Coturnix japonica: one gene and its partner. The protein of the gene in region 1 purifies or fractionates together with the protein of each later gene. This does not show direct contact. Links are inferred from orthologs where the notes say so. Each region holds a gene or a part of one and is shown on either strand. Other genes may lie near its edges.

The links.
Region 2: the proteins of BRMS1L (region 1) and SIN3A purify together in Homo sapiens (affinity purification with mass spectrometry; 3 studies listed by BioGRID, with this or other methods). This does not show direct contact. The link is inferred for Coturnix japonica from reciprocal best matches to the Homo sapiens genes BRMS1L and SIN3A.

What each region holds. Positions count from the first base shown.
Region 1 is NC_029520.1:32,955,406-32,959,222, forward strand, and holds part of BRMS1L (breast cancer metastasis-suppressor 1-like protein), read left to right. Parts: intron 1-779; coding exon 780-819; intron 820-1,650; coding exon 1,651-1,777; intron 1,778-2,970; coding exon 2,971-3,094; 3' UTR 3,095-3,817. UniProt on the Homo sapiens protein: Involved in the histone deacetylase (HDAC1)-dependent transcriptional repression activity. When overexpressed in lung cancer cell line that lacks p53/TP53 expression, inhibits cell growth.
Region 2 is NC_029525.1:1,962,183-1,965,999, reverse strand, and holds part of SIN3A (paired amphipathic helix protein Sin3a), read left to right. Parts: intron 1-165; coding exon 166-258; intron 259-579; coding exon 580-674; intron 675-1,204; coding exon 1,205-1,412; intron 1,413-3,175; coding exon 3,176-3,406; 3' UTR 3,407-3,817. UniProt on the Homo sapiens protein: Acts as a transcriptional repressor. Corepressor for REST. Interacts with MXI1 to repress MYC responsive genes and antagonize MYC oncogenic activities. Also interacts with MXD1-MAX heterodimers to repress transcription by tethering SIN3A to DNA.

The DNA of each region.
Region 1 (3,817 bases):
TATTCTTGCCCTGCAACAGCAGTTGGAAAAATTTTCTTTGTATTCTGGCAAAAATCAGTGCTTTCTAACTTGTGGAGTAGGAAACTCCATTGTAAGAATTCAGAAACTTTCTGGGAAATGATGTTAAATTTATTTCCATCTGTCTTGTGGTGCTGACGTGAAAACCTGTCTGTTTTCCTGTCTCATTGGAGGCACAGATTAAAAATAGCTTTCACTCAGTTTCTTTGCTGTAATGTAACATGATTTAAAGAAATAGCAACAACAAAAAAGAATTAAAAATCTACTTTGCTGCATATGATTCACAGCTTTTCACTCACGTGAATTGTCTGCTTGTGGGTATAACTTAATAATCTGGAGGGTGTGTTGTTCAGATAGCACTTAGTTTTTCAGAACCAGAATTATTGTCATTTTGTGTTGGTTTTTTTTGTTTGTTTGTTTTGTTTTGTTTTTTTTAATAGAATAATGGCCATTTTTGAGAATTTTATTTAGGAAACTTGAAATTAGTAAAGTCAAAACTCATTAGAGAATGTCATTTTTCCTCCCCTCCCCAAATAGTTAAAAGCAAGTGTAACCAAGCAGTTCATATTAATAAAGTAACGTTTGCTTTTTCCCCCAAAAAGTACTCAAAGTTTGCACGCATTTCATAGTGTCATCAGTATCACATAACATTAATGCTGCACATAAAAACAAATGTCTTGAGCTGTGCTGTGCAAAACAATTTGAGCTGGCAATTAAGAAAAAAATGTCTGCTGACTGTCTTCATTTTCTTTTGTTTCTAGGCAATGGCTACATTGGGGCCACACAGAGTAAAGCCAGAACGTAAGTAAATGTTGTCTGATTTCACAAGACAGAGCTTGCAATATACAGTGATGCAAACTGCATTGAAGCAGGCTATATTTATTTTAGCCTTGGTATGCTGAACACAGGGTAGGGTGAGCTAATTGGAATATGTCTATCCCTGCTCTGAGTTGTTGATAATTGCAGCTGGATTGGTGATTGTCATTGCTGCATGAATTGTAAAAATTAATTAAAAAATCAAGACTTCTAAGAGTGGGCTTTACTAGTGAATATTGGTATATTATGCCAATATTTTCATAAAATGAGGCAGAAAGCTGAAATCATCTGAATTTTAAGAGAGCATTCTGAACACACGTTGCATTCACTGCAAGTTGTAGCTCTGAAAAAACATATATGGAAAAGGAGTGGTAAATGATAACATGGTCTGAGGTTAGAAGCATATTAATGCTAGGTAAAATCAAGTGCTTGGAGGTAGTGAGTAATGATGAAAAGGGAGAGAAGACAAGTGGTTTCTTCAGTGGTCAGTTACTGCTTGCATTCGGGCATAATGCACTGATGAAGAGATTTCGGATTATGTGTCTTGTTGCATTATTCTAATTGTGAAATTTCACATCATAGATTGGAGGGTTGTATGAAAGAGAACTTAAAATGGAAATGCAGCTTTTAATTTATCTGACTGGAAAGAAATAAATATAATGCTTCTAATTTTCTTGCATTTGGAGCTAACTATCTAGAGAGAGACTACCTATGACAATGTAAAAATTGCATATGTGGTGTATAAATAATTTACTGGATGTTTATTTCTAAATCTTACCGACTTCTGCCAACTGATATTAAATTTGACTGTTTTAGCACCTGTCAAACTAGAGAAGCATCTACATAGTGCTAGATCTGAAGAAGGAAGACTGTATTATGATGGAGAGTGGTATGGACGTGGACAGACGATATACATTGATAAGAAAGATGAATGTCCTACAAGGTGAGTATTATTTTATTCAGTTCTCTATAGTCCTGTTAAGCAAAAGGCAACGTGGTGGCCTTGAAGAATAAATTGGAAATAAATTCATCCTTGTGAAGGTTGAATTTTACCGAAGGTAATTCGCTTTAGGATGGGATTTTATTAAAGGATTGAAGCTCTTAACCAATTTCTGGACAGCCTGTGATTTAAGGGTTGTGTTTGGGAATTTTCTTGCTGAGACTTTGATCTGTTGGCCAGCTGTAAAATATTTAATCATGGAAAACTACTTTTTGCTGTTGCTTGTGGAAGGAGTCTTGAAGATAAACTAGATCAAAACCCTCTGCTGTGACAGAGTTGCTATCCACTAGGCCAGGTTATCCATGGCCCAATCCAGCCTGGGCTTGAATGCCTTCAAGGATGGATCATCCACAGCCTCTCTGGGCAGCCTGTGCCATTACTTCACTACAGTTGTTATAAAAAACTTTTTCTTTTATTCAGTCTAAATCCTTCCTCTTTTGGTTTGAAGCAATTTCCCCTTGTCCTGTAATAGAGGACCCTGATAGAGTCTGTCCTCTGCTTCCACTGTTTTAATCTGTTTTTGAGCTATGTTTGGCACCAGTTCTGTTTGGAAGAAACATTTTAAGGTTTGGGTTTTTTCCCCAGTATTTGTGTTGGAGTTTACCACAAGGAGCATGAAATCAAAGATCATGTAAGAATGATTTGGTTAAATTAAATAGGTCAGGCTTTAGCTTTATTTTTCATGGTCCTGGTGCTGGGATTAACAGTTGAACACTTTCTTCCTTGTATTCATTTGTTTATTTGAGCTTTGTTTTAGTTCTACACCTTGGGGTTTTATAAGTTTAAGGATGTTCTGGAAATGCTTTCTAGTGTACTGTGGGTAGTCTATTGATTACTCTGAGTGACTGTCCTTCGTAACGTTTAAAGTATTTGTAGATGTGATGATTTTCTCATAAAAGAAATAAAAATAACTGTCTGAAAATTCAACTGTCTTTACTAGAAATATACACAGTTATTAAAAAATGGTGCCAAAACCATCCTTACAATGGAGTCAGTACTTTCTGAGCCTAGCGGTTATACCTACTATGTGTTTTCATTTACATTACAGCTGCAGTTTTTGATGTTATTTATTCTTTAACTTTGCTAAATGATTCTTATTTTTCTTTCCCTGGCCCTTCTTCCCTCATTTTCTGTAGTGCCATAATTACAACAATTAACCATGATGAAGTTTGGTTCAAAAGACCGGATGGAAGCAAATCCAAGCTGTATATTTCTCAGCTACAGAAAGGAAAGTATTCAATAAAGCATAACCACAACTGACTGTTGCTAAGCCATGCTTGATGTGCCATGGGATGAAAGTTGTATTTAATAGCGTTTTGTATTCCTCATAAATTTACAGCAGTATCTGATGTGTATTTGTAGCGCTGTATGTAAACTTCATATGGACGGCCTTCAGAAACCTGAGGATGTTAAATCATGTTAACTGACATTTTACCTCTAAATTGGGTCCAGTGCTTACGATATGAAGTATGCTCTTCAAATGTAATGGCTCAGAATTTCTCATTAAATGTTGATCTTTTAAAATGGAAAAAATAAAAAATTCTTTTTTTTTCATTGGTGACCAGTTTGTTTGATAAAAATAACACCCACAATGACCAGCAACTCCCTTTGTTTTCAGTGACCGTCATGCTTCTCTTGTGGATGAAAATTTAGCTTGTTCAGCTGTTGCTTTTGAATAGATTGTAACATGCATAAAGCATTATTTTATCCAAAGTGGATCAATTTATTGAAATTATTGCCCTCGACAGCTCTGCTAGTTCTGACTGTCTTATATTTTGTAAGGTTTACTACATTGTTTTTAATGAGACAAAGCCAATATTTTAAGTTAGAACTTTTCAGGAGCACCTTTCTAACTTAGGACTCTACAGTAAACATATTATTGGTGATTTGTTTTCTTCTTCCCCAGATAATCATCAAGATTTATGTGTAAAGTAGATAGTGTTCCTCTGACGTGTGTTACATGCAGCCCAAGAAGGGTGGCTG
Region 2 (3,817 bases), on another chromosome or scaffold:
AGTGCTGCCAGTGCTTTTCTTTTGCTCTCAGTAATGCAGGGAGCAGGTTTTTGCCTTAAGACTATGCAAGCTGCTTCACTGTCCATTTACCCCAGAGAGAAGTAGAGGGGTATATTTTGTTCTGTTGGAAACCTCACTGAATCCCTTCTGCCTTTTGATTTACAGCTGATGTTCATCCAGAGCAGAGGCCAAGTTCAGTTAACCATTGAACTGCTGGACACAGAGGAGGAGAACTCTGATGACCCTGTAGAAGCAGAGGTAAGAGCTGCATGGCCAGAGAGATGACTATGATGGTCAAGGGTTTGCTGGACAAGGATGTCCAGTCGGTTGTCTGCACAAGATATAGAGACATCAACAAAGCATTGTAAAGCTTTCATTGATGTCAGTAGGTAAATCCTTCCTGGTTTATTTTATATCAGACAAGCCAGAAAATCACAAAGAGAAGCGTTGTACCTGCCTTTGTAGGAATTAAATACAGGGAGCATTCAGAGGTGTCCTAGTGCTCTCCTGTGTGACTTGCAATTTAGCTTAGGTTCAGTGGGAAAGCAGTGCCTTATGTTGTTGTGTGCTCACTTCCAGCGCTGGTCAGACTACGTGGAGCGGTACGTCAACTCCGACTCTACCTCCCCTGAGCTCCGGGAGCACCTGGCCCAGAAACCAGTCTTCCTGCCCAGGTAAGTGGCCAGGCTATGCCATGAACCCTCCCTGATGGGTCTGTCCCTTGGAGGGCAAAGGGTCGTGCTCTCCTGCAGCTCTGGGCCTTTGGTATCACCTGTGTTTTGATGCCACTACAGAAGCCATTATGCTGGCAGTGCAGCATAGAGGTACTGTGCTGCTGCTTGTCCAGAAAGCCTGTGGGTCCACCCTGGGCTCCTGCTCTCCAGTGACTGAGAGATGGCACGATCTGCAGGTGGCAGAGAGGGTGAGGGCTGCTTTCTGCCTTGGCTTACAGTAACCCTCTGCCTAGAACCACTGGGTGCCACAGCAGGGTTTTTCATGAGCAGGGAGCTGAATGCAAATAGCTGTGGTTTCAGAAATGGATAAATCCCATGGGGTGTCTTGTTGTAGAGGCCTAAATCTGAATGAATTTGATACAAGCTGTTGGTCAGGTTCTTGAGGGGCCAGCGCAGATGCAGCAGCTACCTCCAGCCTTGCAGTCCTAGAGGGTTGGCACTAATTCCAAGAGGGGTTCTCTGGTTTGCAGGAATCTGAGGCGGATCCGTAAGTGTCAGCGTGGTCGGGAGCAGCAGGAGAAGGAAGGGAAGGAGGGAAACAGTAAGAAGGCCATGGAGAACGTGGAGAGCTTGGACAAGCTGGAGTGTAAATTCAAACTGAACTCCTATAAGATGGTGTACGTGATCAAATCGGAGGATTACATGTACAGGAGGACTGCTCTGCTGCGAGCTCAGCAGGTAGGAGCGAGTGGAAGGACTTGGGGTGGGCAGCTGGGCTTTCCTGGGACCTCTTGCTCCCAAAGTCAGATGGGGAAGAGCCAGATGTAATGTCCTTTGGGGTCCCAGGGGAACATTCAGCAGTCTTTGTGTTGCCAGGAGGATGGTGTGCTATTCTGTCTTCCCCAGACACCAAAGATCTACTGAATGTTCCTAAGGTGTAATCTTTTCTTCTTGCCTTCTACTCTGCTCATCCTCTCGCCCCTCCCCTTCTCTCCAGAGTGTGTTTTGACCATTAGCTCCTCAATTTTTTATCCAGGAGACATTTTCCCCTTATGGTGGTCCCCATGTTGTAGGGAAGACCTGTCCTCCGCATGCAATTATAGTGCCTTTTGAGACATCCTGTTCTTCCAGGGCTTCCTCAACAAGAAGTCAGAGTGCAGAGCATCAAACGTTCTCTGTCTCAGCCATTCCTTCTGGGTACCATCCCTCAGCCTTTCCTGTCCCCAGTCACTGAGAGCTGGTTGCTCGCTCATGGCAGAGCTGCTCTACAACCACTGCTTTTATGGCAAGGACAAGCGCAGGGGAGCTCACAGCTCCACAAACCACCATGGGTGCTTTCGTGGGGATCTGAAATCCTCATCCTAAGGAGGGATTTGAGTGGAGAAACCTGGTTAGGTGTTCAGAATGCTCTGACACTGTTCTCGTCCCATGGGAATATTTCTGCCCAGCAGAGAAAACCTGGAGAGCTTTAAGAGTAAACTCCAGTCAGTATGGCTATGTAGGCTGGAAGTTTAAAGTACTTTGCTGTAATATTATTACAATCTACTTAAACAAAGCATTAACCAGAGCGTGGTTGCTTAGAATGTCAAAAGAAAGTGAAAAGGGTCAGACTTTGGTGAAAGCTGCTGGCTTAAGCAACCAGAAGCAGAGGTACCTGAGAGGTTCTGTCAGCAGCAGTCTCTTCTGTAGCTGCAGAAAATGGGTTTCTGTTTATTCAATTACTGTCTTCCTGAGCGACCTACTGACCGCTGAGAAAATTGGCTGGGAGATGAGGGAGTGGGAGAGGTGTCCTCTGCTTCCTGCCTAGGAAATCATCCCTTCACAGCTCTGTTGGACATTTATTTAAGCTTCTAAAAGGACTGCTCTCATCTATTTCTTGCTGATGAAATACAAGTAATGGTTTTATTTAATGAGCTGTAATTTAGTTAAACTCATATTCGCATCAGATAGAGTATTCCGTTTCAGCATTGGGTCTTTGAAATGTCGATGCTGGGGATTTTGATCGATTGAATTCCATCTACCCAATTCAATTGGCACAAGGTTGGAAAAACTGCTTTATAAGCAGGGTACCATGTGCTGGTGCTTATCGCAGAGTGTCTTAACCTCATCAAATTACTGAACCTCTTACACGATAGCGTGCAGCATAACTTCTCAGTATGCTGAAGGAAATGCAGAAGCTACATTTAACCACAAACCTGTTGACTGCATGGTAGGATGCAAGAAAATATATTTTAAATATATAAAAGAAAGAGAGAAAGAGCACTGTGCCAGAATGGCCTGTTTTTGGCACAATCTCTTGGTATATCCAAGTTCTTTTTGTCCTGTGATTCTCTTAGAGGTAGGCTTCTTGGGAAGAGACCTGTGGAGGCCTTCCTCAGGACCTTCCCTTTGCCACTAGCCAAGGGCCAGCACTTATGCTGCAGATCTGGCCTCTTTGCTATGTGTTACGCTGCAGCTTGGGGCTGGAGCCACCTCTCGTTAACACCTCTTTGTTTCTGTAGTCCCATGAAAGAGTGAGCAAGCGGCTGCACCAGCGGTTCCAGGCCTGGGTGGACAAATGGACCAAGGAGCACGTCACCCGTGAGATGGCAGCCGAGACGAGCAAGTGGCTAATGGGCGAAGGGTTGGAGGGCTTGGTGCCCTGCACCACCACCTGTGACACAGAGACCCTGCACTTTGTGAGCATTAACAAGTACCGCGTCAAATACGGCACAATATTCAAGACACCATAAATGCCCTGGGCCAGGGAAGATCCCGGGAGATGTGTGTGTGTGCGTGCGCATCAAGGAAACGAGGAAGATGCCTTTCTCCCCTCACTGTGTATCTCCGTTACATGGCCACTTGACTAGTGTGTGGCTGGTACAAGCTGTCACCAGCGGGATTCTCTGTAGGAACACGGGTGTCCCAGCACCTGCTGGGAGCCCTGCCCGCCGGCCCTTGGACTTCAGCATGCGCCCCACAGGGAAGGACCCTCTTGAACCTGAGCGGTCCTGGAGAGACGCAACGAGCTCATACGCACCAGCAGTGTTGAGGCTTTATTCCCCGGTGGCCTGAGCAGCGAGGGAGGAGAAATGGAGGAGGCTCTCCACCACCTGACCACCTCGGTGGTCTTCAGATTCCTTGCTTGGATGTGTCCCGCAGCC